Linked DNA regions of Mus musculus. The protein of the gene in region 1 interacts with the protein of each later gene in a pairwise test. Links are inferred from orthologs where the notes say so. Each region holds a gene or a part of one and is shown on either strand. Other genes may lie near its edges. The genes, in order: Rabac1, Rab33a, Lnx1, Mief2, Ndrg4, Rab1a and Zfyve21.

Region 1 (4,583 bases):
GCCTCCTGAGTACTGGGATTAAAGACATGTGCCACCAACCCCTGGCCACATCTGTGATCCTACAGAATTCTTGGACTAGGAACAAAAATCAGAAGTTCAAGATCATACTATCCTTGCCTACAGAGCCATGGTAGAGAAAGAAAAAATAATAAAGCTGGCCATTTTCTAGCGGTGACCACCTGTAATCCCACCAGGTGGGAGGCAGAGAGGGGAGGATCAGCCATTCAGGGTTGGAGCACTTGGGGCTCTTTGTACTGTGACCTCTGGTGATCTCAGGACAAGACGATCCTGGGAGGGAGGAGTTGCATGGGCCAAGACCTCTCCTGGGACACCCACATACTCTGCTTCAATCACCTAGCACCAGGAAGGAGCATCCGCTTTGACAGAGGGACTCAGCACAGGACAGAAGTGGGGGAGGCCCCTTGAAGTCATGCAGCCGGCATTATGATCAAGGTCTCGAGTTCCTGTTAATATCTTCTGGCTTTTTCCCAGTGCCACTTGCTCTGGGAAGCACAGGAAAGAGCTCAGAGCCAAGTCCCATCTCCCACAGCCTTCTCGGATGTCTCCTACTACCTACTGACTCAAAACCCATCTAACGTGAGCCTCCTCCCTCAGGAACCTGAAAGTACCCCCTGCCTCATCACATCTCTACCTCAGGGTCCTCGCTTCCACTGTCCCAAAGGACTCCTTTCCCAGCTTCCAGACACCTATCCTAAAAATCCCAGTATTCAAATTTCTTACATTCTTTGAATTAGTTTGCCACTTTCTGCAACAGTGTTGCCTCTGGATCCCACTGCCTTCTCCACTGCCTTCTCCCGAAGCCCCGACTCCCACCAGGGCAGCAGAGACTTGAGGGTCATGAAATAGAAAGAATTTGCTTAGTCCTCTTAAAGAAACTGAATTGGTTCCCATAGCAGTCAAACCCAGCTGACTTTTGCCGCCAAACTGGTTTCCAAGGTTCTCTGTCTTTTCCAGTACTCTGGCCTTGTGGTGTCCCTCTTTAGTCTTTAGGCTAACTGTACATTTGCAGTCCTCCACTGATCTGAAGCAATGCTGGACCCCAAGTGGGAAACCCAGACACAATTTCCTGCTGAGTGGCCCATACTGAAATCCCAACCCGGAGGAGTTCCGTTCCCAGCACCCATGATTTCTAGACAGCTCATAATTGCCTGTAACTCCAGTTCCAGGAGCTCTAAAACCCTCTTCTGGTGGCACACACGCATAAACATATAAAAGTAAATCTTTTCTTTTAAAATGCAAACATTTATTTTTAAATCATGTGTATCTGAGTGTGGGTATGTGCACATGAGTATGTCTGATTGGCTAGAGCTGGAGTTTCGGGCAGTTGTGAAGCACTGGGTGTGGATGCTGGGAACCAAGCTATGATCCTTTGAAAGAGAAACAAGTAAGCCATCTCTCCTGTCTCACTTTCAAAGTAAATACTTTTAGGAAAGAAAAAGTAAATGAACTCTTTCCCAGACTTGCCCAGTTAGAATCAGAATATCTGAGTTTTCGAACAATGTTTTATTAAGCTCTCTCGAGCCAGAACGACAGCTCTGCACGGTCCACGGAAGTACGTTTCTGCCATTCGAACTCCCACAAAATCCTCTGTCCTGACAGTCCACCTGCTGTAGTCCACGCTGAGCCTCCTGAAACTACAATTCCCACAATGCCTAGAGGCTCCCGACGAGCTCTTAGCATACATCTCCCAAGATGTCTTGCGAGGCAAACCTGCCTCTTGACGCCACGATGACTACAACACCCACAATGCTTGGAGGAACAACTACCGCCCTCTAGAGCTCCCAACGACGCCACTTCCAAAGAGTCCCGGCTGGGGTGGGGCCGCCTAGGTGCTGCTGGGCTCCGGGCTATTTACAGCGGTTCTATCCACTGCAGTGCAGACATGGCGGCCCAGAAGGACCAGCAGAAGGATGCCGAAGGGGAAGGGCTGAGCGCCACGTGAGCAAGCAGGGTGTTACCCCCAGATCCGAGATGCAGGAGTCCCTCATCTCCTCAGAGGTCCTGGGAGGGACTCAGTCCTGTTGGCTCCCTCTCAGGACCCTTCCTCCTAGGGGTTCAAGGTCATGCTTGGGACCAGGTGTGCTAGAATCTGGGGTCCAGATTCTACCCTCTCCCTCCCTTCAGCTGCTCTGCTCTGCCCTGCCCATTAGGACCCTGCTGCCCAAGCTGATTCCATCCGGCGCAGGCCGAGAGTGGCTGGAGCGGCGCCGGGCGACCATCCGGCCCTGGGGCACCTTCGTGGACCAGCAACGTTTCTCGCGACCCCGCAATGTGGGAGAGCTTTGCCAGCGCCTGGTACGCAACGTGGAGTATTATCAAAGCAACTACGTGTTCGTGTTTCTCGGCCTCATCCTGTACTGCGTGTGAGTGCCTCTGCGGCCCCGCCCTCGATAGTCAGACCCCGCCCCCGGCTGCCAGGCCCCGCCCAGACCAGTTAGCCCACTTTGTCACTACAGGACCCGGTCAGTCTGTACTCCTGCATTCACCTGACCAGGATGTGGCCTTCGCTGGCCTAGAAGGACGTAACCTCAGTCTGTGTCCAAAGCTAGAGGGGCCTGGCTGACGCAGCCTCGGATACCTAACTCCTGTCTCCCACACTCTTCCAGGGTGACATCTCCCATGCTGCTGGTGGCTCTGGCTGTCTTCTTTGGCGCCTGTTACATTCTCTATCTGCGCACGTTGCAGTCTAAGCTTGTACTCTTTGGTAAGAAATCTCCTGCCCAAATGGCTCCTCGGGCCTTTCTGATCGTGGTCTCACGGAATGCAAACTTCCGAATAGTTGGGACCCAAGACGGCCCCCACCGAGCTGTCCACTAGAGTCACTTAACTTGGTCTTTAAGGGCTTAGACCCACCAGGTGCTCCCCTCCAGTCTCAGCTTCCCAAACCCAGAGAGACCCCAAAGCCCTGGCACCTCTGTCTCTTGTAAATGACTTAATCCAATTCCACTCAACCCCCCCCCCCCCCCCCCACGGAACGCATCAGCTGCAGATACCCACACTGCACACCAGGTGGCGACCTCATGCAGGCCTAGATCCGTGTTCCTTCCCAAGTCTTGGCCCTGATGATTCTCAGAGGGGAAGGCTGAGATCTGTAAGTCCGGTGGCCCCAGACTGTCACCAGGACCACTGGAAAGAAAGGTGTCAGGGAAGACCCAATGAGGGGAATCCAAAAGTTTCCGAGGAGACTTAAAATAAGTCTTTCATAGCCCAGCAAGCTTAAGGACCAAACAAAGATAGGCTGTGGCAAAGAAATAGACTGAAGCAGGTCAGAACTTGGCTTCTGCAGGTAGTGGTCACTAGGACATACACACTTTTCAGGCATAGGAGAGCGTGGGGCGGGGGTGGAGGAAATTAATATATATGTACTAGGGTTTAAAGAGTGTGTTGCTATGCCCTAGCCTTAAAAAATGTGTAATGCGGGCCCTCTGGAAGAATACGTGCTTTTAACTCCTGAGTCACCTTCTCCAGCCCCCACAAACCAAATTCTCGCAAGGTGCATCAAAGAACACATCCTTAAAACCAGAAGCTGGCCTGTGCCTCTAATCCCAGCACTTGGGAAGCTAAAACAGGAGGATTGCTACAAGTTCAGGATAAGCCTAGCCGGGCGGTGGTGGCGCATGCCTTTGATCCCAGCACTCGGGAGGCAGAGGCAGGCGGATTTCTGAGTTTGAGGCCAGCCTGGTCTACAAAGTGAGTTCCAGGACAGCCAGGGCTACACAGAGAAACCCTGTCAAAAAAAAAAAAAAATCAAAATAAGTGCCTAGAGAGATGGTTCAGCAGTTGAGTACTCAGTTGAGTACTGTTCTTGGTTTGGTTCCAAGCACCCAAGTCAGGTGGGTGCCCATGGCCACCTCCTCATGGGCACCTGATCTTGGGCACGTATGCGTGCAGGGCATATACACACAATTCAAAGAAATAAATCTTAACAAAGGAAAAAAGGGGACAAAAATCCTTAGGTCAGATTTGACTGTGGAGCCACCAGCCTGAGACTCCCGGTGACCAGGGTGGAACATCAGGCCCTAGTCTGAAGTGACCTGAGGGCTCCTGGGAGAGGTGAAGCTAGACAGCAGAGGTGGGGCAGAGGAAGGTTGTTATGGGGACAGGGGGCTTTGGGGAGGCAGGGTAGGGGCCAGGTATGGGAGACACTGATGTGAGGAGTCTGTATTATTACATGGAAGGTTCCAGAGTCTGTGACACTAGATGGGTGGAAAGTGACCCTGGACACTTGTGGGAAAGGGTCGGGTGGGAACGGCTACCTTACACCATCTGTTCCCAGGCCGGGAGGTGAGCCCAGCACATCAGTATGCCCTGGCTGGTGGCGTCTCTTTCCCCTTCTTCTGGCTGGCCGGTGCTGGCTCTGCTGTCTTCTGGGTCCTGGGTGAGTACAGGGTCTGTGTAGGGTGAGGCTGGGAGCCAGGCGAAAGAGCACAGCCTGAACCACCCATCCCCCTACAGGAGCCACGCTGGTACTCATAGGCTCCCACGCTGCCTTCCACCAGATGGAGCCTGCAGATGGCGAGGAGCTGCAGATGGAACCTGTGTAAAGTGTCCTCCAGGACCTG
Region 2 (4,694 bases), on another chromosome or scaffold:
AGAAAAGCTTAGGTCCAGGCATGGTGGTCCACATCTTTAATCCTAGCACTCAGGAGACAGAGGCAGGCAGATGGAGCCAGAAGATTAGAACAGATGGCCAAAGTTAGTATGAGGCCAAGCAGAGCAATCCAGTCAGAAGCTGAGAGAAGCCAGTTTGAATCAGTCAGCTTAGAGAGGAGTTTGGGCCAAAACAGCTGACTTGAACCAGTCAGACAGAATTCAGAAAGAGCTAGAAAGGATGGCCTTATTCAAAAGTAAGCCTTAGAGGTTGAAACCATTCTGGGCCTAGAGTAGATTATACAGAGTCTAGAAGCTTCCAATCCTAGGCCTAGGTTAGCAGATGGAAGCTGTAAGTCTCTGAGATGACAATTATACCAGGTGAACAAAAGTTACTTTTACATTTTTCCTTAGTGGGAATGGATTTCATTACACTGAGGCTTCCTGTAGATCAGCCTCACATGCAAAATGGCAGCTCATGTGTGCTGCTGGCTCCCCTGACTTTGATGACATTAGCAATATCTCATATGTTGATGCTAATGGTATATGTCTGTGATACCTTAGCCTATGAAATATAAGGGAGATGAGCAAATTCCTAAAACAAACATAAAATGGGTACTCATTGTTGTATGCAAATCGTACCTAAGTTGACTTCATACAGATGTTAAACCTGAAAGTCACTTTTGGGAGATGGAATATGGGTCTTGACCAAGTTGTGTGATGGTTAGTAAGCCTTGGGAAGCTACCCTCTGAAATCGTAAAAAAGTTGTATTCATTTATCATCTTCCAAGCATAATCTAGGCTTCTGACAAATTAGACCCAACCACTATATTCTACATTCACTTGCAGGGGGTGGGTGGACCCTCCTTGGGATTCCAATTCCCCTTCAAACTCTGCCAATCTGAAACACCGTATGGCTTTGTGAAGGGCTCAGTGTATCAGGAATCATGGGGTTTATGCCGTGTCCTAAGTGCCCTCACCTGGGCCTGTAATGGTTAGCCACAGAAACAAAGTCCCCCTTTGCTGGAACTGTCCCCACTAGTTCCCCCTCCTCCTAGCCTCTGTATGGCCCTCTCCCGCGGCGGGCCTTCCTCATTGGCCAGCCAAACACAACCGACTGTGGCAGCCAATGGGAACCACCCTCCTGAACATTCAGAGGGTGGGTGCTCGTGGTGTGATGAGGGGAGGTTGGCGCCTGGTACGAGCCCCCCTACATCTGGCAAGTCTTTGACAGAAACAGTAACACCCCCTACACACTCACGCCCGTGCCCCGTGTCTGCCTCCTTTCAGCTGCGTGGGGGCCCTCCACAAGCCACTGCGTTCACTGGTGTCCTGGCAGTGTCCTCCCCAATTCCTTGGGCACCAAAGAGTGCACCTGCTTACTCAGTAAGACTGAATACCTCCTTTTCCTAAGACTTGGTGGGGGGAGGCAGGGAACCACAGTGGCGCAGCTGTCAGTGGCTGTGGAGGTGTGAACAAGGTATCTCAGATCCCGACCCCTTAATGCTGCACCGGACTCGAAACTCTCCTGCGATGCCTTAGGGTACAGCGCTCTTTGTCTTCCCCAGCTGTGCTCACTGCCCACCGAGCCTATGCGCTCAAAGTAGGGGTGGGAAGCCTGAAACCCACCACAGAACTGGGGACAAGAAGAGAAGGCTCGCCTGAGGCGCTGTGTTCCACACTCCTCATCCCTTCCCTGTTGTGCTTAGGCTTTCTCCCTCCAGTGTGTCCCTGGGGTCCAGAAGGGGAGGGTCTAAGCAAAGGCGCGGCACAGCCTGAGCCTGCAGTCCCAGAGCTCACACACCGGCAGAAGGAGACCTCTCAAGGCTGGCCCAGTCTCCATTTCTTCTCTCTCAAGCTTTTGTGTCTGTGCCTTTGAGCTGAAAGGAGGGTGCACTAGGAAAGGAGGAGGGGTGCCTGGGGTGAGAGCACCCTCTTCACGCGCGCGCGCACACACACGTTGCCGGCGCACGCACACACGGGCGGACACACACTTCCAGACGCGCGTGCGAGCACACACACATACACACACACACACGCACAAAGCTCTCTCGCTTTGAGCGCACTAACGTGGCCGCTTTCTTTGTGTGGAGCCCTCGAGTGGGGTTGGGACCCGGGTCCTGTCCCGGGGAGATGGCACAGCCCATCCTGGGCCATGGGAGCCTGCAGCCCGCCTCAGCTGCTGGCTTGGCATCCTTGGAGCTCGACTCATCGATGGACCAGTACGTGCAGATTCGCATTTTCAAAATCATCGTGATTGGGGATTCCAACGTGGGCAAGACCTGCCTGACCTTCCGCTTCTGCGGGGGTACTTTCCCAGACAAGACTGAGGCCACTATCGGTGTGGACTTCAGGGAGAAGACCGTGGAAATCGAGGGCGAGAAGATCAAGGTGATCCTGCTGGTCAGGTCCGGGCAGGGAGGAACCTGGGAGGGGGTTTCCGCCTGAGGTATATTGCTAGTGATAATAAATGACTAGCTTTGGCTGTGTCGCCACCTGCCGAGCTCAAGACCCTGGGCACATCCACAACCCTTTTAGCTTCTTTCAGGGGCCCATCCCCACCTAACCCAAATTTTCTGGCAAGCCAGGGTGGTTGCATTCTTACCCTTTGCCCCTACCTGACAGCTTTGGCCGGGAAAAGCAGGTTTGAAATTGTTCTCAATCCTAAACGGGAGAGACACCCCTGAACACAGAAAGGCCTGAGACATCTCTGGTCCTAGTTTTGTGGGATGGATCTCAAAGCACTTTACACATTTTGAGGTCCTTTCTACCTCTTGGGTGCCAATAGGCTGCAAAAAAGAAAAAAAAAAGTCATCCTGGCTAAGCCCTGTGACATTAGAGAGGTTGGGAATAAATGGAGCAAGAACACGGCTTTATTTTAGAATGCAGTTTATACTTGTGAGTAGAGCTGACTTGAGATGGAGGTGGCATGGAGCATGGTTATGTCACAAAGCCCTTTTAAAGGCTGAGACACAGTCACCTGCTGGCTCTTCATAATCTCCCAAAACTTGTTCTTTGGGGGCAGTCCCTCCCAGATGCTTGCTGCTTTAGATCGGTTTGGATGAAGCTGGTGAATGAAGAGCCCATTACTCATTCTACTGGCATTGTCTTCAGAAGGCTTGTTGGGAAACACACAACAACTTCTCTGAGGGTCAGGGGGAAGTGCCTTGACATAGTTTACTAAATAGGCCAAGTACAAATATTTTTGTATGTTCATTTAGTGTAGCGAAAGTAGAAACTCGGTAAGACAGGGTATGTCAGTGTGTTGGGAGGGGGTAGCAGGAAGCGGGGTATGGCAAGGACAGCTTTGTGTGTCATAGAAAGCTTGTAAGAAGACACCGGGGTTACTAAACACCAAGTCCTCTAGACTCATAGCTGGCCTTTGCTTGAGCAGGACCCCCGGGGAAGTCAGAGATGAAGGTAAACTTGTTGGTCAAACAGCTGAAGGAGACACATGCCCTGTCCTGTGTTCTGAGTGACACAGAGTGAAGGACTGGTGAACTGGAGAGAATGACAAAACACCCCAAATTGTGCAAGATTTCTTGGTGATCAAAATGATTGCATTTTAAAATGACTTCAGCAAACAAGCCAAAGCACTGTGCTTTAGGAAGATGGGTGGAGAGAGAAGGAGAGATTCTGGGTCTGGGAGATAATAGATTCTTTTGAACTTCTGATCTATTTTAGCTCTTTCCAATCTGAGGCGACAGGGATGGCCTTTTAAAGCCAATGCGGGGATCTGTCTTTTTTCTTTTTCAAGGACTCTTCATGTTGAATGTTTGCACAGGTCAGGGCTTCTTCCTTGACGGTGCCTAGTTTCTTTAATATATGGCTATAAGACATTGGAAAGTCTAAGACGTGATTTTTTTATAATCAAAGTAGAAATAAATCAATGGATGCATTTTAAAACACCTTCAGAATCATGTTTAATGTTATCATTTACTTAAAATCAGCTATTACAGTGAGCTGAAGTGTTTCCTGGGCTTAAAAGTTGGAGCAGCATATTAAATCCCTCTGAAGTTTGAGTGGTGGGGAAACAGAAGTGCATGGGAGTCTAGGAGGGAAGGGAGATGAAGGGGGAGAAAGGGAAGAGGAGAAATGAGGGGTAGGAGGTGAACAGTGGATGGAGTTATCAACCAATGGCCTTGGGGAGGGCTTTAAACCATTACCCCACCCCACACCCCACACCCTACCCCCGGCCCTGGCCACAACCACCACCCCTGGACTTAACCTAACTAACTGGCTTTCAAGTCCCTGCCAAATATCCTAGACTTTTTTTCCCCAGAGGGCAGAGCCTGTGACAGTGTGACTCACTGGAAACAGATCAGCACAACACCCCGTGCAGATAAGTGCTTAATATGGGTTTTGAGGGGAAGATGATATTTCTAAAAGGACAAAGCCTTGTAACACAGTTCAAGGAGGAACCTCTGAGGACAAATTGGGCAAGAAACCTCAGTGGAGTGTGGGACCTGGGACATGCTGACCTCACTCCCCTGTAAGCTGTTGAATCGCTAAGGCCAAAGCTGGCAGGTGAGAGACCAGAGTGTCTGTGGCAAGATGGCAGAACATGGCAGCTGGCAAGAAATCAAGAAGGACGTAGATTGTGCTTCATGCTTTTTCTGCAAGAAAAAAAAGTACCAAAACATGGTTAGGGGTAGGGGTAGGGGTAGGGGTACGGTTAGCCCCATAGTTCAGCCAGC
Region 3 (4,437 bases), on another chromosome or scaffold:
ATTGGGGAATGCAGGGGCAGGGGTGGGGTGGGAGGTGTCAAGGCAAGTGATGGGCAAGGAGCCCGAGGTCCTTCCTTTGAGTCCCCTTCAGCAAGATGTAGTGTTTTTAAGGTTAGAATCCAGTCCTCAGTTCACTGGGCCCTTGCTCTTGAATGGCAGAAATGTGTGTTACACTTTGGGAAGAGGGTGGGACCAGAAGAAGCCCGCAGCGGGTCTGGGACCACAACTGCTCTGATGCAATGATTCAAGGTCATTGATGGGTACAACATATTCTATTCATAGGTGTGGATTTTATCCAAAGGTTCTATGAGCCTTCCCTCCACAGAGTGGTACAGGTTGCAATTATCTGTCACCTCTCATACTGACCTGGCCAAATGCTCATGGAGTCTGAGGTAGAAGATGTTTGACTATGAGATTAGAGGGGACAAAGTACCCAAGGCTACTCAGGGTGGTAGCATGATGAAAACGAACTGGGCTCCCTGAAAGTCAGAGCACTCAACAACGACAACAACAAGACTTTCTCCTGAACGCCCGTTAGGAACTCACACTTTGTGAATGCATCAAAAGAGCCTTGAGCTGGGGACAAGAAGGAAGAGCGACCACTCCAGACTCTGCTTCGCCAAGGGGGCTGGCAGACCACGCTGCCTGGCTCAGGGAATGACAGCTTGTTCATTCTCCTTCCTCCGGACTGTTGTGTGTTCTCCAAACTGTTAACAGTGGTGTTAATTACTGACAATTAATTACAGTAATAAGAGCCGGGTTCTGAACCAGTGCAGCCACAGGAGAGCTACATGGGCTCACACACGTCCAAGCTCCCAGAAAAATTCCTCCAGTAGAGAGGGACTTGGCTTTCATTTGTCCCTGGCTCAGTACCAGGCACTGCCTCTACTCAGAGAACCACATTACATAGTACTTATATCTCTTATCCTACCGAGAAGGAAATGGAGGTCCAGAGAAGTTCAGTAATTTGCTAAAGGATGTAAAATCTCCTAATCGCACTGGTATACACCTGAACTAGTGGAGTTGTCATGGCAACTTCTCAGGGAGAACACCTGCAAGTTATCCAACAAGCTACCCCACCCCTGTACTAGACACTGACTGGACTCTGATTTCTGCCCTGTCATGGTTTTTTTTTTTTTTTCCTTTTTCTTGAATTGGGGGCAATAAAAACATAATATTATTTTCCTATGCAGTTAGAGACAATGATCAAACAATTTGTTATTTAATAATAGGTCCATTGTTTTAAAAATAACTAATTAACCAGGTATAGGAGAAGGGGTGAAAGTTTGCAGAGGTTTGGAACATCAAAGACAAATGTATGGCGTACAAAATCCAGGCTATGGGGAGTCCTTCTCTCACCTTGCTCACAAACCTCTGAATCAACTGAGAATGTTATTAAGGCATCAACGGCAGTCACTCTGCAAACACACTAGCTTAGAGGACAATACTGGGCACAAAGGTCAGCTAGAAAAGAGACTACGAGCTTCCCAAGAGTCAGAGAGAAACCAGTAACAAGCACAAAGCAGACACTTACCAGCAAGAAGCAGCCGTTCGAGGGCAGTGCGTTCGTACAGTTGGATGTTTGGCATGTTCTTTTACTTTTTAGAGGGCTGTCTCTGGGCTTATTTCCTAGTGGATGATTTCCTTATAAACCCCGCTGCTAATTTAAGACCCAGGAAAGGGACTAATCAAAGTCTATAAAATGGAATGTCTCAGGATTCATTTATTTCTCTCCTGGAGCTTCCCAGCTAAGTTGATAAGAAGACAGATTGGGGACTTGTTTCTTTGCCCTTGTTAATAATATTAGCTAGTGGAGTGGGTCTCTCAGGCTCGTTGAGAGCAGGTTATGTGGTCAGGATTAGAAAAATAAATATGGGTCCTTGAGGATTTACAATTACTTTTAGAGTCGGGTCCTAGCAGAGCAGCCTCTTCCATATATTTATTAATATAGAAAAGATAGAAACAACAAGAGAGTTTCAACAATTCAAAAGCCAGGCCTGGCGTTACATTCTTGTGGCCTTGAAGGGTAATCTTTACTTTAGCCAAAGGTCAGCAGGCAACCTATCTGGCCTGAAGGTAAACAGTTCTAATCCAGACTGCTAAATATTTTCCACAAATAAAGGAAACTAAAGGATTTTTATGAGAGAGAGAGAGAGAAGGAGAGAGAGGGAGAGAGAAGAAAGCTTATAAATAGGGAGCCAGAATTTATTACCTTTAGTATTGACTTTCTATTGTAAACAACAAGACCTAGGGAAGTATTACAGCTTTGGATCAAAATTGCTTCAGATGACATGAATGCAAGCAAGAAAAAAAAAAAGGACAATCTGAATTTTGTGAATGTCCCCAGCACCCCACACCACCCCCTACACACACACACAAAACAGGCTGAACTGGTCTGCACATTTGAACTAACTTTCAAAAAGCATCTCACCTCACTTCTCTCAGGGGTTTTAAAAAGAATCAGATCAACGTCACCAACAAGTAGAGGCCGGATTAATAATCAGGAAACAAAAATGATTAAATATCTGGCCGAGATAACGTTGCTGGCCATGGAGTAAGACTGGCGCAGACATCTCTACTCTCAGAGTGTTACTCTGGACTGAGCCAGTAAGTGGTCTTTCTTTTACTTTTTCTTTCTTTTCTTTTCTTTTTTTAAATTCAGATTCCTTGTTCAGATCCCTTTTGGGCCAGAGGTCTAAAGAGAGGAAAAAGTAGTTTCTTCTCACCTGTTCAAAGATGTTTGGGACTTTCAAAGCAGCAGTGACCAGCCAGCCTCCATCCCTGTGCCAGAAGCGTCTAGGGCCGCCTGAGCTGTGACCGGTCTCAACTTCGGTGTACAGGTGGCTGGAGGAAGAAGAAGGGTATTGGTTGGTTCAGAGCAGGAAATCTGTGACATCACGGAAGTCTGGCTGAGACCTTAGGGACTAAAACATCCCCAGAGGCTCCGCCCCCGTCAATTACCTGACTACCTTGGAGCAGGTAGGTGGCGTCTCTCAGAGGACAAATGAATCAGTTAGAGCAATTTGCCAAGTGGAATTTACTTTCCTTTCTGAGCATAGCACGTGTCTAGCCCCGTGTACAGATCTGAATGCGAATGCCTGATTGTTTCCCAGGCCCATCTTGTATGCCTGATATTGTTTCCCCTCCAGGCTCACAGGAGCCCACACAGCTGCCAACATCAGAATTAAAAGGGAAGTTTAAACACTGGAAGGAGACAGGGATTTTTGTAGGGGGGGGGGGGGAAGGAAAAGGTTGTGAAGACTTAGCCATATCTGGGACTTGTCCCCACTAACGCCTTTCTGAATCACATCCCTTTGAGTTCCTAGTGTTTTTCTGTCCCAATATTATAACAAACCAGAGATGACCTAAGTCTACTTAAAAAAATCTAATTTTGATACCTTTCAGCATCATTTCCCAAACACCTTCGCGGTCCCCAGCATATTAATAATAGATTCAGGCATTGGTAAAACTTCAGGCATTCCTACCTCGGCCTGTCTGTCACGTGGTGGTTACAGTCCACAGTAGGCCTGCAATTAGGAGTACTTTAAATGATTCAGGTTAGAATGATAGCGCCTTACTAAGGCCATGTTGTCTGCAGGGAGAGATAGGGAAGAGGACTCAGGGCTATTTTGGTCCCAAGCTTGGTGTGTGACCCTGGACAAGTCACCCTTGCTTCAGCTTTTCCAGCAGGCTAATGGCACGACTCAGCTGGCACTTGAGTGACAGCTAAGAGGATTCCTGCCTGCTGGTTAAGGCCTGTGGCATCTTGTCCCATCAGCCTGTTGAATTGCTGTGTGTCTGTGGCTCGCAGCCAGCCTCCCTCGCAGATGTAGTCACTGTTCGGAATGTGCTACCTGGGGACCCTGGGGAGTTCTCTCTCCTGGGTTGGTCCAGGCACACTTTGGTCCCCTAACGAAGAAAACGTCTGCTGAAAATCTTTCCCCCCTCCTGATCTTGAAACTGTAGAAGTCGCCTGTTCTAACACCTCACGGCCTAGCCGTGGTTTGTGGGCGGGACTAGGGGACAGCTAGAGTTAGAAATAGTAAAAAAGCACCTTCTCCCTGAGTGCCCACATTGGTAGCTGGCTCCCTGTCACTCGGTACCTTGTAAAGTAAAAGGAGAGGGTAGCAGAAGGAAGATGAAGTTAGCGCAGGAGGCAACTTCAAATCACTGGTTCACCCCAGACAGGCCTAAACAGCGCATCCATCTGGGACCAAGCAGCTTGGGACTCTTTAAAACAAACACATACACACACCTCTCTTCGCTACTTTATCCAATAGAAACTAAGGGAGGCGTGGCTACCCTGTACCGATAAAAGCAAAAGGTTCGAAAAGGAGGGAGGGGGAGGGGGTTGGGGCTTGGGGGTTGAGGAGTGGGAAGATAATAAAGGTAGTTGAACCTTTCAAGTGCAGGTTTTTCGAGGCAGGAGGTGGGGGT
Region 4 (4,515 bases), on another chromosome or scaffold:
CAAGCCAGCAGCAGGCGGTCATCAGTGCTGGCCCCAGGGACTACCATGAGCACAGCTAAAGTGAACTCCAGGCACTCGTGTTGCACTTTGAGCAGCAGCTCCTCCGAAGCCACATCGGGCCAGATCAGACACCCGAGCAGGCTGCCAATGGCTGGCCAGTTGACAGAGGCTGACAGGGCCTTCCGTAGCAGCTCCAGCAAGACTCGGGAGGAGAGGTAGCCCCCCACCAGGAAGCGGTCCCATGGGCTGCACCCACGGGGATGAAACTCAAGCTGAGTCCTGCGTACAGCCCAGCATCGAGGCTCCCTGGCCACAGTGTCCACGCCAGGTACCAGGCTCCATAGCCCCGGCTCCAACTCCAGAGGCGCCAGCAGGCGCACGTGCTCAGCAGTCCCTGCCTGGAGCCCGTCGTAGAGAGGCCCACCCGGCACGAGTGCACCAAAGGGCAGTTCTGGGAACTTGCTCCTCAAGTAGGCCTGCAGCTCCAAGGCAATGTCTCCAGCCAGCTGTTTCGCCAACGTCACGTGGGCTTCTGGGGTAATCACATGCTTGCGCTCGAAGGCCAGCAGCCTCTCCTGGAACGTCAGGCACAGGGGTGCTATAGTGCTGAACTTAGGTGTCGTGGGAGAATGAATGGGCGTGGGCTCCACTGCGGAGGGAAGCATCCAGGAGAACATATTAGAAGGCCCCACAAGTTAAGAAAACTCGACCTGCTCACTAGCTGGGCATGTGCAAGGGGCTCACCACACTAGAGAGAAGCAGTGTAGCTCACCTGGCACAGAGGGGGAGGGGGACCCAGTAGCTAGGGGCTGGCTGAAGGCAGCAGGAGGGGGTTGGGGCTTTTGGGGCGATGTGGCTCTCAGCAGGCTCAGTTCCTTCCAGCTGTCCCCCTTGGTGTCATCCTCATCTGGAGGGCTGGTGGCCCTGTCGATGAGCTATAGGCAAAGTGACACAGATCAGAGCATCGGGGGCCATGGCAAAGCTGGGGGGAAAGCAAACCAGGAAGCTAGGGTGAAAAAGTAGGGGCCCCGTGTTCCAGTCCAACCTCAAAAGTCCCACCGTCCCCCAGCTCCCCAGTCTGGCCTTCTCCTGTGGAGGTTTCAGGCAGGCCTTGCCCCCTTGGCCTTACCCGCTTTACAGCCAGGGTAGCAATGCCCAGCACTGCAGCCCCGCCCACACCTAGCACCAATCGAGCATTAGCCAAGAGGAAGTCCACCACACTGCCCAGGCCCTCGCTGCCGCTCTGTTTCCTCTGCTTCTGGGAGAACTCTGCCATGGTCACCTGCAAAGAGATGTAGTTCGTAAGGCATAGATGCTTAGCAATGACCAAGAGGGTGGTTTCTGGGGACCCGTGAGAAAGGGGCTGCTCAAAGAGTTTCTTGGAGGGAATCAGGGGACCTGCCAGCCCCCTCCCTGAATCCTGCAAGCCTCCAAGCCCTGGAAAAGGGTTCATATAGGAAGGATCCAGGCCTTTCTCCTGACTCCACCCCAAGACCTTGGGAATCTGGGTTCAACATCACCACCCTGAGTCTACAAAGACAAAAGTTGCCAAGCCACAAACTGAGTGCTAAGGTCTGGGATTCACAGCACAGCCCCCAGACTCTTCCACTCCCAAAGCCTGAGTATTTTCCCCATGCCTCCTGGTCGAGTTCCCTCACTCCTAATCAGAACCTACCCAGAACAGCCATACTGTGTGAAAACCAGTCAGGAGGAACCCAAAGGCCCAGAAATACTTGTAATATGGGTTTCCAGAAAGTTTGCCTGGGTGGGGCCTGTCAGACCTTTGATAGACCCTTAGCAAATTCAGGAATCTAGATAGTGGCCCCCCCAGACCTTGACAAGAAAACTACCTGGGCTAGGGCAACCCCATCAGAGCCAGGCTGAAGGCCCCAGGGTGCAGTGGTGAGTGAAGTAGGCTTAAATAAACACTGAATCAGGACAAGCTGGCCAGGGCCCATGGACTCGGAACAAAGTTGGAGAGGGTAAGAAGGTGAGAGAAAGGCCCGGAGCCAAGGGCTTCTGTTTATTTGTACGACCGCACCAGTAAGGACTGGGAAGTGTGTGACTGGCCCAGTCAGGAACTTGGGAAAAAGTCACAGAAATCCACAGGCCCAGGCCACTAAGCCAGAAAGGTCATTGCCTGCCGGGGCACCAAGGACTTCAGCCCTTCTTTCAGGGCCATGGTTGCCTTGGGACTCAGTTGCCAAGTGACAAGATGCCTAGAGTAGCTGAAGCCTTAGGCACTGTGTGACTCAGCTGAGACACCTGTCCATGCTCCCCAGACTAAAAATAAGACCCTGTCCTCGAGCCTGGTAAGGTCAAAGGGCAGCCAGGGAGCCTACTCCAAGCTCAGAAACAGCTCTGCTCTGTTACTGCCCACCACTGCCCTCAGAGCAGTAAGCCACTCTGCAAATGGAAGGGGCTTGCATTCCATCACCTGTCTAAAGTGGGACTCAGCCCTACACCTAGAGGGGTCTTGTATTCAAACTCCAGTAAGAAAGGAATAAAATAGGTGACTAAATATAACCCACTTAGGCCCTATGTGGTGGTGCAGGCCTTTAATTTCAGCACTGAAGAGGCAGAGGCAGTCAAGGCAAGCCTGGTCTACACACTGAGTTGGAGGATAGCCAGAGTTACATAATAGAGCCTCTATTCAAAACAAAACAAAAATAACAAAATAACCCGACTCTTGACAGCCTGAACTTCACCTGTTCTTACATTCTGGCCAAAGCTGATTGCTTCTGATCATGACTGAGCAGAAACGTGTAACCAAATAGGCTCTTAGACTCTATTCAAGAGCGAAGTCACTGTGGCCCTGGAAATCGTGTGCAATACCCAAGTCGGGAAGAGGCACCGCTGGGATTCGAACTCTGCTCTTCAGTTCCCAAGTCCTCCCTCCCACCGCAGTGACCGCAGGCCACGCCCCCACCTGCCCCGGGATGCGCGCCACGCCCAGTGCTGGGAGACACCGGGCCACCCGGTGCGCTGTAGCCGTACCTGCGTCCGAGCGTCAGCGCATGGACCCAAGGACAGGGCGAGTAGGACCCTGGAGGCCCAGGACTCGCCTAGGAATGGAACGTTCAAACCCCGGGAACCGAACGCCGAGGCCCGAGGCGGCAAGTGACCCGAAAGGCACGCTGGATAAGCAGGCCTTCGCTCCAATCCGAGCGCACAACTCCTGCGCACACGTGCTCAAAACGGAGCAGCTCAGCCAATGATCGCCAGGCACGCCCCGGGACCGTCTGGGGCGGAAACCACAAGCATACTCCGGATTTAAAGGCGCAAGGTTATATTGATAGCGCAAGGGGGGCGGGGGAGGTGGTGAGTGTGACAATCATTCAGGGGCTTGTCTAGTTTACTTACTTTCGGGTGTTTTGTTTCTTGAGAAAGGGCCTCACACTAAAGCCACAACTGACATCGAATTCTCAGCAGTCGTACTTAGTCTCACATCTGACCTTGTGTGTACTTGTAATGAGAGCCTCAGTGTGGAGTCTGAGCTCATGGTCCCTTGGTGGGCCAGGCAGACAAAACTGCAGTTAGCCCAAAGGCCCACATTCTGCCTCTCAAGTTCGCCCCTGTTAGAGTGCCTGGTGGTTCCATTTCCGTTTGGCCTGCCTGACACATAATGGGAAAAGAGCTCTGCCATCTGTCGTGGGAACTCTATCAGTCTCTTCCCTCCTGAAACCCGGGATGCCAGACCCTGGACTTCCATAGAACAGCTGTGTCTGTTTATGGGAAACCTACTGTATGCTGGCCAGGGCAAGATGGCCACTAAGAGCTTGGCCCAGGAGATATACACTGATCTAGAGCACAAAACAAATCAATAAAGAATGGTGACTGGAGTCCTGATGCCAAGGGAGAATTGTGAGTGTTTGTGCAGCCTGCTCTCTAAGCTGCCACATGTGAGTACTCTGGCAACTTTGGGGACCGTGTTACACATGATCAAAGTTGAGTCCTGAAGCTGAAGGATTAGGTCCCAAAGCCCCGGAAGTCTCACCACTACCACCACCACCACCACCACTGATCCCTCACACACAAACTGCCTGTGTCCCTGACGTTGTTACCACCATCACTCCTGGGTCACGGCCAGCCCCAGAGGCTACAGCAGCCCAAGCGACAGTGCCTGGACCCCACCCTCCACGTTCCGACAGGAGACTGGAAGTGTTGATCATCTCCAGCGGGACCCCTACAGGCCTCCCCAGAACTCTGGTCCCAGGGAGGCCTCGCAGCTCTGGGAGTCGCCTAGCAGCACTTCCCGCAGAGGCCGCGGCCGGGAGGCGGCGCGCGCGGGTTAAAGGGGCGGGGCCGGCGCTGACCCAGCCCGCGGCTCTCGGCCGCCCCGCGTCCTCCCTGCCCGTAAGAGAGCTGCGCCACCATGGAGGCCACCGGGGTGCTGCCGTTCGTGCGCGGCGTGGACCTCAGCGGCAACGACTTCAAGGTTAGCTGGGGGAGAAGGGGAAAGGCGACCCCTAGGCCGTCTCCCCGGGCCGCTTCCTCTGCGCTTCCGGGACCGGC
Region 5 (3,487 bases), on another chromosome or scaffold:
TGTCCCGGAGAGCGGCGTGCAGGGACAAAACAGTTTCTTCCTCTGTGGAGGCTGGGCTAGTATGCCGTAGTGACCGACTGATGGTTAGTGATTAACCATCATTTCACTGACTGATTGATTAGTCCGTTTACACCTGGGTTTGAAGTGGCCTTAAGGGTTTCCACATTACACACACACATACGCACGAGACAGACAGACAGACGAGAGACAGAGACAGAGAGGAGAGAGAAGAGAAAAGAGAGAGAAGAGAGAGACAGAGAGAGAAGACAGAGAGAGACAGAGAGAGACGCTGGAAGTAATATAAGGTGAATGAATGATAGCACAAACGGTAACATGGAGAATTCAGTAGTTTAGTTTCAGTACCTGGAAGGTTGAGGGGGGTTTGTGGTTTACTGGGAGTTTCTGGCAAGCCAGACAACAGAGTGACACCATGTCCCAAAACAACTAAAACCAAGCAAATAGTGTTGTGCCCTTGCTTTGAAGCGGTCTTTCTTGCTGGCTAAACTTTCTGCTCAGCTGTGAAATAGAGTTAGTATCAGGACTGGTAAAATTATATCTCAGTCAGAGTATATAGCCGCTTGGTAGAACCTTGACCATCATGTATAAACACCCTGGTTCAATCTCTTATCACCCTAAGAGGAAAAAAAAAATTAAGCAGGGTGGCCTACATAATTCTAACACCCATGACGCTGAAGTAGGATTGCTGAGTATTCAAGACCAGCCTGGGCTACAGAAAGATTGCTCAACCCTCCCCCAACCAAATGTGTCTAACAGGCACTATCCTCCAACTATCAGCGCCCTGGGGCAGCCAGGCAGCCTAAACAGTTGAGCCTTCCCTGTGATAGGAAACACGACACACGTAGACTTAATTTCTTTATTAGTTTTTCTGCACAGTTAACTTTCTATATCAAGGATTTTTGTTTTGCATTTTGTAATCTCAAAGTCTCTTTATCAGCCACCAAACAGAATACACAAAATTAGGCTCTTAACTTTGTACAGAGAGGAAAATAATGAACTCCATTAAAAGTTCATCTTGACCAAAGAGAAGACAACTACCAATGGGAAACCACATACAGGAAGGAGGACCTGATATACATACATATATATATATATATAATGTATAGGTATTTATAGATATCTTAAGAACACAGCAAAAAGATGTCCAATACTTGGAGTGCTATCTACAGTAAGGGATTAGTTCTACCACCTCTAAACAGTCACATTCAGTATTCACGGAAGCACGTGAGTGAACTGAACCGGGGATAGGAAACACTCCACTGGACTCCAGAGCAGTCTAGAAATGGCTTACAGTTACAGAAAGGGGCGGCATGTGCCACAGATAAATGGATGTGGGTGTCCTCTTGCCTCAGAACACCCATACAATACCACATACATCATCCCCACTCCCCATATACACACTTAGTGCTTTCTCTCCTCTCTGGGGATGAGAGCAGATGAAACCAATGGCCAGGCTGTGAGCGCCTACTTGGTGAGATGGCGGGCATAGTTGTGGGCTGTAGGAGGCATGGAACCTTTGTTTGAGGATGGCCCATTTCCCACCCAAGGGCCAGGCAATCTCCAGCCCCTCCAGCAAGCAGAGGTCATTGTATCTTCCCATCTGTGTCTTTCTAACAAGCTCACTTCTCAAGTATTGTCTGTGACACACTGGCCCAAGTTGACCAGGGCACTGTGACAAATACTTGGTGAAATCTGGGACAAGAGGGACCTACAGTACCTGCCAGCTTCCAAAGGGATGGGTAATCATGAAGTTCTCAGGGGCTACACACAGCATACACAGCAATCAACATTTTAACCTCTGCCAACAGGGACAAGAGACCAGGTGACCTTTGCCTCAGGGTGGGACAAGGCCCTGTGGTGGCAGGGTATGGGGGTTCCTGCCCCCATGTCAGGGTTCTCCATATTCTTCAGCCTGGCTGGCCTTACACCACCTGTCCTGCCCAGAGAGCACCAGGAAAATGGCTGTCTGTCTAGAGCGCCCTCTTGTGGCTACCATCCTCATGACTGTCACTTCTACTATTAGAATAGGTGTGCTTGATGCAAGGGTTACAGGAAAGGGACACTCTTAAGGTCCAAGGCTGCCCACTGGTCTGACTCCCACTCACATCAGAGCTTTAGCTCACTACCCACCATCTTCAAACCTCACATCTGCCAGATCCAGGGGCTGGGCTGGGCTTTCTTCAGTACTGTATCTAACTATCCTGGCCACGCCCCAGCTGGGCAGAGGGGAGGGGCCACACTGAGTGAGACAGGAGTGTGTAAGGCGAGCCCCTCACACCATCTAAGACTGTTGTGCTGTGCTGTCCCAAGGTGGATCCCCTCATTTCTTTTTAAATAAAAGAGAAGTAACCCCATTTCCTCCCCTTCACTCTCACAAAAATAAAACTAAAGGGAAGATGAGCCGGTGCAGAGATGGCAGTGGGACCTGGGGGCAGGTAAGCGGGCATCATGGGCAGGACGAGGGCTTCAGCAGGACACCTCCATGGTGTGGTTGACCTGGCCCATCCCCTCACTGCTGTCTGAGTGGGCGCAGGGCTGAGGGCGGCTGCCGTCCACGGAACTGGCGCTGGTGAGGGACGCGGTACGTGAGCGTGCGAGGCGGGTCATGCTGGCTGAGGGCACTATGGACAAGAACAGAGGGTCCTGAGGACAGGCAAGGTGGGTACCGGCCGGTGGGAAAAAAAAAACAACACAAGCAAAGCGGCCAGTGACACCCAGTCTTGCCACACGCAGAGGATTCTGGCACTGGCTATACCAGGCCAAGGCATGCAGGACCAGTCAGCAACGGTGAGCAGGCCAGGCTAATGGGCTACAGCCAGCAGGTGCCTAGGTCCCAGCAGCTACCCAGAGCTATGTATGGTCAGAGCAGGGCAGGTGCTTATAGGCACCCTGACCTGGGATAGAGAGACGCTCTGTGGCCAACTAGACCTGCATCCAAAAAGTGACAGGGGTGGGGTAGCGTGGGTGGAGGGGGGGCAGGATTGCTTCTGTGAAGGCAATCAGCCACAGACTGCCTGAATCTTGCTTCTACTACTGTAGGTAAGGCCAGTCCACCTAGAGGCTGGGCAGGGGGCAGACAATGTCTGCAAGGCAAACCTAGCACTGTTGTGTTTGCAGGCTCTGCTTCTAACTCCCAAAGCTCTGGAAGCCCCACAGCCCACGGCAACCTAGAAACAAGACGGCTGCTCTGAGACCAGCCAGTGTGTCAGGTCCCACACGGGACGGAGCCCTCAGCAGACCAGGGTCTGTGGAAGAGCAGGGATCCTCCGGGGCTTTGAGCTGAGCATAACACAAGAAGGTTCCACACCACAGCAAGACATAGTGCAGCTGCAGCACTGCAGAGGAGCGGGGCGGGTTAGGGCGGGGCAGGGAGGGGCGGGGTGTCCATGCATCAGCAGACAGGCCATGGGCTATAGGCCATAGGCCATGGACTACCTGCTCCTCCACTCAGCCTTCGGTCCTTCAAGTG
Region 6 (4,674 bases), on another chromosome or scaffold:
GATGACATCACAATGAGATCTTGTCTTAAAACTAAGGGAGGAGAAAAAAATTCTTCTTGCTATTTATTAGCCATTCCTCTTCCTTTTCCCTCCTGAAAAGCCTTCCGTGCTTCACTTCTATGCTAATAATTCTCTTTTTCACCCTGCTTGTTTAGATTATTGGGGGAGGGATATATGTGGAGAGACCAGAGAACAACCTGCAGGAACCAGTTCTCTCCTTCCAAAGATGGAACTCATAAAGGTGGCAGATGCCTTCGTCTGCTGAACTACCTTACTGGTACCCTGGGGTAAGTTTCTTACTTGTCTCTTCTATAACAATCTTCCAAAACCCAACAGCCAACCAGAACAAGTGACTCCCCTAAAACCACACTGATCTGATCCATGTTGCACATCTGCATGCAGTATCTCCTAATATTTGACATGGATAGAATCTAGTCTGTATGTTACATCACAGGCCCCTTGAGGCTAAGGCTCACACTCCGAAGTCCAAGCTTACATTAAAATGATTTACTCTACTTACAGCATGATCTGGATGGAGAGCTGTCCAAAACATCTTTTATGTACTCATGAACCACACTACTTACTACTTTAGTAGGCAGTAAAAAATGACTTTTTATACTACTTTATAAAAAGAGAAACAACGTCTGAGTAACATCAAATTTTTGTTGCTTAGTTAAATCTCTTACAGTATTAAAAAATAAACACATAACATGGGCTGGAGAGATCAAGTAGTAGTTAAGAATATGTATTGTTCTTGCAGAAAACTCTAGTTCCATTCCTAGCATCCACATCAGCTGGTCACAAGTACTCTTAACTCCAGCTCCAGGAGGTGTCTCTAACCTCAGCAGTCCTCAATCTGTAAGTGGCAACCCCTTTGGGTGTCAAAGGACCCTTTCACAGGGGTCACATACCAGATATCCTATATCAGCTGTTTACATTACAATTCATACAGTATCGAAATTACAGTTATGAAGTAGCAATGAAAATGTTATGGATAGGGGTCGCCACAACATGAAGAATTGCATTGAAAGGTCGTAGCATTAGGAAATTTGAGAAGCATAATAAAAATACTTAAATACACACCTAACAAATATAGGAATCTCCTCAAATAGAACAGGAATTTCAAATAGAAATTAGAAACCTTCCTAATATAACAAATTCATCTTCTTTTTGGTTTCCACAAAAATCTAATTAGGACCCCCAATTCAACTTTGCTTAACTAAACTAATTTTGCCCTGGGAGAGGGGCTGCAAACACAGCACCTGTGTCTCCATGTGAACTGTTCCCAACTTTTTCAAGTACAGAAGCCTGGCCAAGCACATAGCTCTGTGGATACAGTGCCTATCTGAGTTCAATCCCTGAAGCCACAAAGGAAGAATAAGCTCCCAAAAGTTGTCCCCTGACCTCTGAAGCAAGCAAGGTGACACCTGTGCACCTGCAATCACAGGCATCACACACACAATAAAAAAAAGTATGTAAAATTCTACCAAGATACTAAGACCTCTGCTTAACACAAACGGAAAAACCATTTCAGTATTAAACCAGTCTTAGAAAACCTGAACTTAGAATGTCTTTTGCAAGAGTCATGTGACACGCACATGACAAGTCAGCCGAGCTGATGGTTGGACCTTTCATGGGGGCACACTTAGCGGTAACTGACCAAAGCAACAAATAAAGCCCAGCTTTTACGGCAATAGTGATTTCTCTTATTAAAAACCAACAAAAATCCCTCTCCCTTAAAGATTTCTGACACTAAAGTATAATAAAAATGGCATCTCTTAAAGTTATTTTCATATATGGAAACCATAGGAGAATTTTGGGTTCAAAGAGAGAGCCTAACAATGTCTATCCAAGAAAGGAGAAGCGCAGTTCCCATGAAAGGTGCCAGGTGTGTCACATCTGCTACAGTGACTTCTTGAGTAAGCAAGAAAAAGGAATGCATTAACTTTTCATGACACGTCATGGAACCTCATTTCCTATCTACAGGCATTCAAGCAGGTAATCTAAAACCTACATACAACTCTATCATCAAAGGCCCCATTAGTTTCTTTTCAAAACTGTCTGCAAACTTGTACTTTAACTTGGTGGTACCAGGAAGACATTTCTAGTTTATTTTTAGTTCAGTTTTGTTCTTCTTTTTCTTCTTCTTAACCTACTGGAGACAAAAGGTGACTGGGAGACTCATGTCTCCCCTAAACCAAAAATTTCACAAATGTCCAGGATTTTGTAAGGGTCACGTCTCACAAGTCTCACAGAACTCTCCCAGGAGACAAGCCCAAAAGAAAACTAAACATTATAAATAGCTCCTCACCATCTCCTCATCCCCCTCAAGCCCACGCAGTCCCAAGAAGCATCCATATTACCTAAAACCCAACAGGGAGAGAGCTCTAACAAGCTCGGGATTTACAAGTAAAGCCGACGCTGACAGCTCCGCAGAGCCGGCGCAGGGTCTGACAGTGCCCTCTAGCAGAGCTCTCCCACCTACCTCCCCTTAAAACCAAGTCCTCCTCCAGCCGTCACTGCCTCCAGAGACGCGCCCCTCCTGGCTACTGTCCGAGGCCCTCTCCCCAACGCCCAGCCGCGGCACCTAGCTCCCCGCCGGCTGCGGTCGGGACCCGGCCCGCAGGCCCGACCCCTCCCCGCTGCGCTGCGGCCCTCGGCCTTCAGACAATGGGGCCCTCAGGCTGCTCCGTCTCCTTCGCCCGGCCGACCTTCCCGGCGCTGCGCAGCGAACCTCCCGGCGGCCCTCACCCCCGGCCGGCCGCTCTCACCCCGGCCCGCCCCGGCTCTCCTGCACTCACTATTCGGGATTCATGCTGGACATGTCACTGCAGCTGCCGCCGCCGCCGCCGCCACCACCGCCCTTGCTGACGCAGCCGCCGCCCCAACTCTCCGCGCCACAGGTAATGGAAAGGGAGGAATGAGCTAAGCTGTTCCGGTAGAGCAAACGTCGACCCCACTCCGACCCTTAGAACACAATCAGCAGCCGCCGCCACTCAGTGATCGCTTCCACCCAAAATGGCCGCCGGCGAACCAGGAACTGGGGAAGCCTAGGCCAAGGGGCCTGGCGCGGCCCAGAGGGCGGCAGCGTCGCGGGGCACGCTGGGAAAGAGAGTCATGAGCACACCGCGCGCTGGGCAGCCCGACCGGGCCGAGGGCTGTCTGCACTCAGCTTCCCACTAGGCCCCGCGCCCTGAACGCATGCGCACTTTCGAGCTTGTAGCCCGCCCCGTCCCGATTCCCTCACCCCCACACCCCGCCCTTCCTGCTCCCCTCCCCGCTGGCCTGCTGGCTAGGACTTCGCTCGGACTCCCCCTAGCGGATTGGCTAAGGCCGACCGGGCTGTGTTGATGTCATCAGTGAGACGTGGCAGCAGGGCGAGTCGGTGCCCCATCGGGAGGGGAGGAGGAAGGAACTCGGCGGAGGGCGGTGCCGCAGCAGAGGGGGAGGGGGCTCCCAGGAAGCCTGGGACAGTGAGGAGGGGTGGAGACAGCTTGACGAGCTCTGCTCAGGCAAGACCACAGGGGCCATCACCATCAGGGTCTGAGGCTGCTCTAAGGACAGCAGGAAACTCAAGCGGCCTCTGTAGACCTTGCGCTTTCTCACTCACCCGACTCCTTCTCTAATTTTTTTTTTTTTTTTTTTACCGTTTTACTCTAGCAACTTGATGTTGCAATAGCTGCAAATGGACCCTGTTCTAGTCTCTCTTCTGCTCACACAGCCAGATTTCCCTGTCTGAAACTGCTCCTCCATCTCGACCTCCAACCTTTAACATTGTGCTGTTGAGACACAGGCTAAAGTCAGCCTTAACCAGTCTTCTCCTCCTACTTGAGGCCTAGACTTAAAAGTTGAATTGTTTTCCGGGATAGGGTTGGGTTGGGTTGGGTTGTTAAGTTTTGTTTTTGTTTTTTTTGAGGGGGGGGGGTTGCAGTTGCTTTTGCTGCTCTTTGTTTTTTATTAGTACTAATTCTGTGTCCGTCTGCACAACTGGGCAGTAATAAGTATTTTTTTTTAAGCCATGAAACTCTTCAGTACGGACTCCAGAACTAATATTAATACATTTTTTTAGACCTAATGGTGTCAACTTTAATCAGCTCAGGAATTTAAATCTCCGCTAAACTTTAACGCATTATCTTGCGTTATTTATTACAAAGGGCATAGTATAATACACTGACCAAAGTTTATCTTCCAACTTGTTCTAAGCAAGAATATTATCTCCTGGGGCCAACTGTAGATTTACTTTTAATTTCTGAATTTCTGTGACATCAAAATATGCAAAAGAGGCTGTTCTCATGACTAACCATATACTCAGAACATATTTACACATCCCTCTGGCGTTCCTCCGTGTGTCCTGACAGCCTCATCAGACCACACATACATAGTTTTGGGAGTTTTCTTGTTATTGTCTGGGTTTTGGTTTTTGGTTTTCTGAGGCAGAGTTTCTCTGTGTAGCCCTAGCTGTCCTGGAACTCCCTCTGTAGACCAGGCTGGCCTCGAACTCAGTGTTTCCCTGGCCTCTGCCTCCTGGGTTCTTTTCCATACTAACTTCTGAAATGACCCTAGATGGAGGTTTACAGCCCTGGACCCTAAAGCCCACCATACTTCCTCTTATCATTTCACAGAATAAAAACTCTGAAGTGTCCTAAACTCAATTTTTCAAGCAAAAATTTTGTT
Region 7 (2,753 bases), on another chromosome or scaffold:
TATCGGAGCTACTATGCAGCCTCATATGACTGCTAACCTCCTCTTGGTGACCACACGGAAAATATTTTGGGAAATAACCTACTTTTAATCAGACATTAATTCTAAAATCAAAGCAGTCTGAGTCCCACTGGCTAGTGGACTGGGCATGCAGACAGACCACAGCCAGGAAGAGGCCTGACTTCCTTGCCTGCAAAACCTCTGGCTGTGGGTGAGAGTAGGGGTGGGGGAGGGGGTGGTCTTACCCAGAGAGGCTTTCTGACTCTGTAATAACTCAGATGCTTCAAAACCCACCTGAAGGCCTTGGGCTGAGCTGCCTCAACCAGACTTGTACAGCTTCCTATCTGGGCTATACCGGTTTTTGTAAATAAAAATGTACTCAAACATGGTCATGGCCACTGCTGGCTGTGGCTGTTTTGAGCTTTGTGTAGCCATAAAAATTTTAACAACCCCCTCCTCTCCGCCGCCAATGGAGGCCAGAGAAATGATTCCGTAGTTAAGAGCACTTACTGCTTTTACATAGGACCTAGGTTCAGTTCCCAACTTAGAAATGATGGCTTACAACCATCTGTAGCTCCAGGTCTAGGGGACTTAAACCACTGTTCTCCTCTCTAAAGGCACTAGGCATGTGCACTGTACACACACACACGTGCAGATATTCCTGTGCATGGTACACACGCAGATACTCTTGACACCCCTGGGGGAGGGTGGGGGCGAGGGTGTCCTAGTGGAGGCCAAGGAGTGAGCATCTAGCATAGGAGATCTTCAACCGGCTTAATGCTCCGTGCACCTCACGTACCTCCCTGTGGCGTTCCATTGCTGGGCCTCTGAGACTAAGCTGGAGGAGCTGAGTGAGAGGCAGGGACCCTGGAGGCCAGGGTCTGAGTGAGGTAAGCTACTGGGTACAGTGATGAAAGTTGCCGCCCACTGCATATGCCTGGTGCTCAATCGGCAAAGGAGAACCCACACACTTGGCCGATACTGATAGAAGCTGTCAACTCCTGCATAACTTCTCCCTGGGAAAGAACTGAGCAAGCTTCTTTGTTCTCTCAGGACACTTTGACTTGGGCTTTATAGGCTCTTAGGCTGAACCTAGAATCTCTCTTAATCAAAAAGAAGTGACCCCAAGTTTGAGAATCCACCCCAAGAGATAGAAGCAAAGGGGCCAGAGGAGAGACAGACATCACAGCATGCTGGGAGGAGGGACCCAGGGAGGATGGAAGCTGACCTTCAGAGGCAAGCAGGCTCCCCAGGAGGCTGGTATAAGTGTGAATGTCTTTTTCTACTTGAAGGTAGGCAGGCAGTGCAAAGAAGAAACAACCAAGAGTCAGTCAGAAAATGGAAAGTAAGATGCATTAGGTCAGATCTGCAAGTTCAGAAAGTGCCCTGTGCAGTTCAGCCGATGGAGTCCACTGAGCTCACCAAGGAGTGACCGAGGACCTGGGCTACACAATGCCTGCAGGGGAGGCAGTGACAGCAGGCCCGCAAGCAGGCTCCAGATCAGCCACCACCACCACAGACCTTGTCTGGAACCTCAGACTGCATCAGGAGCACTGTCTAACAGTGACTAAGATGACCTAAGTCACAGGCAGACATGGACAGCAGGCTAATCTCCCCTCATCATCTCCTCTCCACTTACCTGGTGGGTTCTAAAGTTACAGACTTAACACAGCCCCAATAAAGAGCATGGCGGGCCATGTTGGGACCAAGTGCAGCACCTCCTGTGCCCACATAGGTACTTAAGGCATGTACCTCCAGGAGTGAAGCCTTCTGTGAGAATCTGAACAGTACAGACATGTGCAATCTCGATTTCACGATGACTGTCCCCATCCAGAACCAAGCACCTGTAACGAAGAAAGGAAACCCTAAGACTGAGGCCTAACGCTTATGACAGCGCTGGCGGGCCAGTGCCGGCGGGACGTCTACTCTTACCTCTGGTTGTTGGAAAGACGACAAACCATGGTCTCGGGCTTCTCTGAGTCCCCAAAAGTAACAAGGAAGGTAGCTCCTTGGAAGACAAAACCAAACCGCACATGACACTGCTTCCTCCAACTGCCACCAGACCGTGCTCTCAGGCCAGCAAAGCTCTCCTCCACTACCACATGGGAAGGGACAAGCTGATACAAATGACAGCTTTGTGTTTAGAGTCCCTTTGGTTAGGCAAAAAGGCAATAATGAATTAAGGATCTCAAAAGCTTAAAAAGGCACTGCTTGGAGACTGGAGAGGCTCAGTGGTTAAGAGCACTGATGCTCTCTCAAAGGACCTAGAATCAATATCCAGCACACACACGGTGCTCAGTTCTGCCTATAACTCCAGTTCCGGGGGAATGGACATCCTTTTCTGACCTCGGTAGACATGAGGCAGGCACATGGTGCACAGATGTAATGTAGGGAAGGTACCCATCCACATAAAGGCATTGCTGCACATACAAAGCTTTGAAATTTGTTACAACCTTTAAAGGAGGTGAGCAGGTGACCAAAAAATAGTAACCCTACCCTAGAGCAGAGTGAACAAGACCAAAGTGATAGAGAAGAGGCTGGCCCTCGCCTGTGGAGTGCAGACAGGCCTACAGCAGCAGGGCTCTGCTACTTGGGAGGCAGGTTTCACCCCAAGACAACTCTCCCTATGTTCCTTGGTTCCCTGAGAACCAGCTTCTGCACCTGCTACAGCTTGTCTCCAGGCCTCTCCCCTTAGGGCCATGCTCACACAAATTTGACTTGTAGTGACAGCTTTCCATCTGGGGAAGGTGCTGCTA

Evidence for each region.
Region 2: the proteins of Rabac1 (region 1) and Rab33a interact in binary tests that used the Homo sapiens proteins (3 or more experiments, as listed by UniProt). The two-hybrid records come from large-scale screens. The link is inferred for Mus musculus from reciprocal best matches to the Homo sapiens genes RABAC1 and RAB33A.
Region 3: the proteins of Rabac1 (region 1) and Lnx1 interact in a two-hybrid assay, tested with the Homo sapiens proteins (2 studies listed by BioGRID and IntAct). The link is inferred for Mus musculus from reciprocal best matches to the Homo sapiens genes RABAC1 and LNX1.
Region 4: the proteins of Rabac1 (region 1) and Mief2 interact in binary tests that used the Homo sapiens proteins (3 or more experiments, as listed by UniProt). The two-hybrid records come from large-scale screens. The link is inferred for Mus musculus from reciprocal best matches to the Homo sapiens genes RABAC1 and MIEF2.
Region 5: the proteins of Rabac1 (region 1) and Ndrg4 interact in binary tests that used the Homo sapiens proteins (3 or more experiments, as listed by UniProt). The two-hybrid records come from large-scale screens. The link is inferred for Mus musculus from reciprocal best matches to the Homo sapiens genes RABAC1 and NDRG4.
Region 6: the proteins of Rabac1 (region 1) and Rab1a interact in a two-hybrid assay, tested with the Homo sapiens proteins (2 studies listed by BioGRID and IntAct). The link is inferred for Mus musculus from reciprocal best matches to the Homo sapiens genes RABAC1 and RAB1A.
Region 7: the proteins of Rabac1 (region 1) and Zfyve21 interact in binary tests that used the Homo sapiens proteins (3 or more experiments, as listed by UniProt). The two-hybrid records come from large-scale screens. The link is inferred for Mus musculus from reciprocal best matches to the Homo sapiens genes RABAC1 and ZFYVE21.

What each region holds. Positions count from the first base shown.
Region 1 is NC_000073.6:24,969,903-24,974,485, reverse strand, and holds the start of Rabac1 (prenylated Rab acceptor protein 1), read left to right. Parts: upstream 1-1,757; 5' UTR 1,758-1,903; coding exon 1,904-1,959; intron 1,960-2,171; coding exon 2,172-2,384; intron 2,385-2,627; coding exon 2,628-2,725; intron 2,726-4,297; coding exon 4,298-4,399; intron 4,400-4,410; exon of another isoform or gene 4,411-4,476; coding exon 4,477-4,565; 3' UTR 4,566-4,583. UniProt on the Homo sapiens protein: General Rab protein regulator required for vesicle formation from the Golgi complex. May control vesicle docking and fusion by mediating the action of Rab GTPases to the SNARE complexes.
Region 2 is NC_000086.7:48,517,471-48,522,164, forward strand, and holds the start of Rab33a (ras-related protein Rab-33A), read left to right. Parts: upstream 1-1,814; 5' UTR 1,815-2,130; coding exon 2,131-2,388; exon of another isoform or gene 2,389-2,405; intron 2,406-4,694.
Region 3 is NC_000071.6:74,700,066-74,704,502, forward strand, and holds the start of Lnx1 (E3 ubiquitin-protein ligase LNX), read right to left. Parts: upstream 2,839-4,437; 5' UTR 2,727-2,838; intron 2,608-2,726; exon of another isoform or gene 2,407-2,607; intron 1-2,406.
Region 4 is NC_000077.6:60,727,050-60,731,564, reverse strand, and holds the start of Mief2 (mitochondrial dynamics protein MID49), read right to left. Parts: upstream 3,168-4,515; 5' UTR 2,998-3,167; intron 2,903-2,997; exon of another isoform or gene 2,839-2,902; intron 1,283-2,838; 5' UTR 1,277-1,282; coding exon 1,130-1,276; intron 936-1,129; coding exon 773-935; intron 650-772; coding exon 1-649. Other genes in the region: Flii (protein flightless-1 homolog), read left to right, coding at 4,376-4,438. UniProt on the Homo sapiens protein: Mitochondrial outer membrane protein involved in the regulation of mitochondrial organization.
Region 5 is NC_000074.6:95,712,330-95,715,816, reverse strand, and holds the end of Ndrg4 (protein NDRG4 isoform C precursor), read right to left. Parts: coding exon 3,454-3,487; intron 2,640-3,453; coding exon 2,485-2,639; 3' UTR 861-2,484; downstream 1-860. UniProt on the Homo sapiens protein: Contributes to the maintenance of intracerebral BDNF levels within the normal range, which is necessary for the preservation of spatial learning and the resistance to neuronal cell death caused by ischemic stress.
Region 6 is NC_000077.6:20,199,780-20,204,453, reverse strand, and holds the start of Rab1a (ras-related protein Rab-1A), read right to left. Parts: upstream 3,043-4,674; 5' UTR 2,825-3,042; coding exon 2,802-2,824; intron 1-2,801. UniProt on the Homo sapiens protein: The small GTPases Rab are key regulators of intracellular membrane trafficking, from the formation of transport vesicles to their fusion with membranes.
Region 7 is NC_000078.6:111,824,105-111,826,857, reverse strand, and holds part of Zfyve21 (zinc finger FYVE domain-containing protein 21), read right to left. Parts: intron 2,006-2,753; coding exon 1,930-2,005; intron 1,842-1,929; coding exon 1,750-1,841; intron 1,283-1,749; coding exon of another isoform or gene 1,226-1,282; intron 1-1,225. UniProt on the Homo sapiens protein: Plays a role in cell adhesion, and thereby in cell motility which requires repeated formation and disassembly of focal adhesions.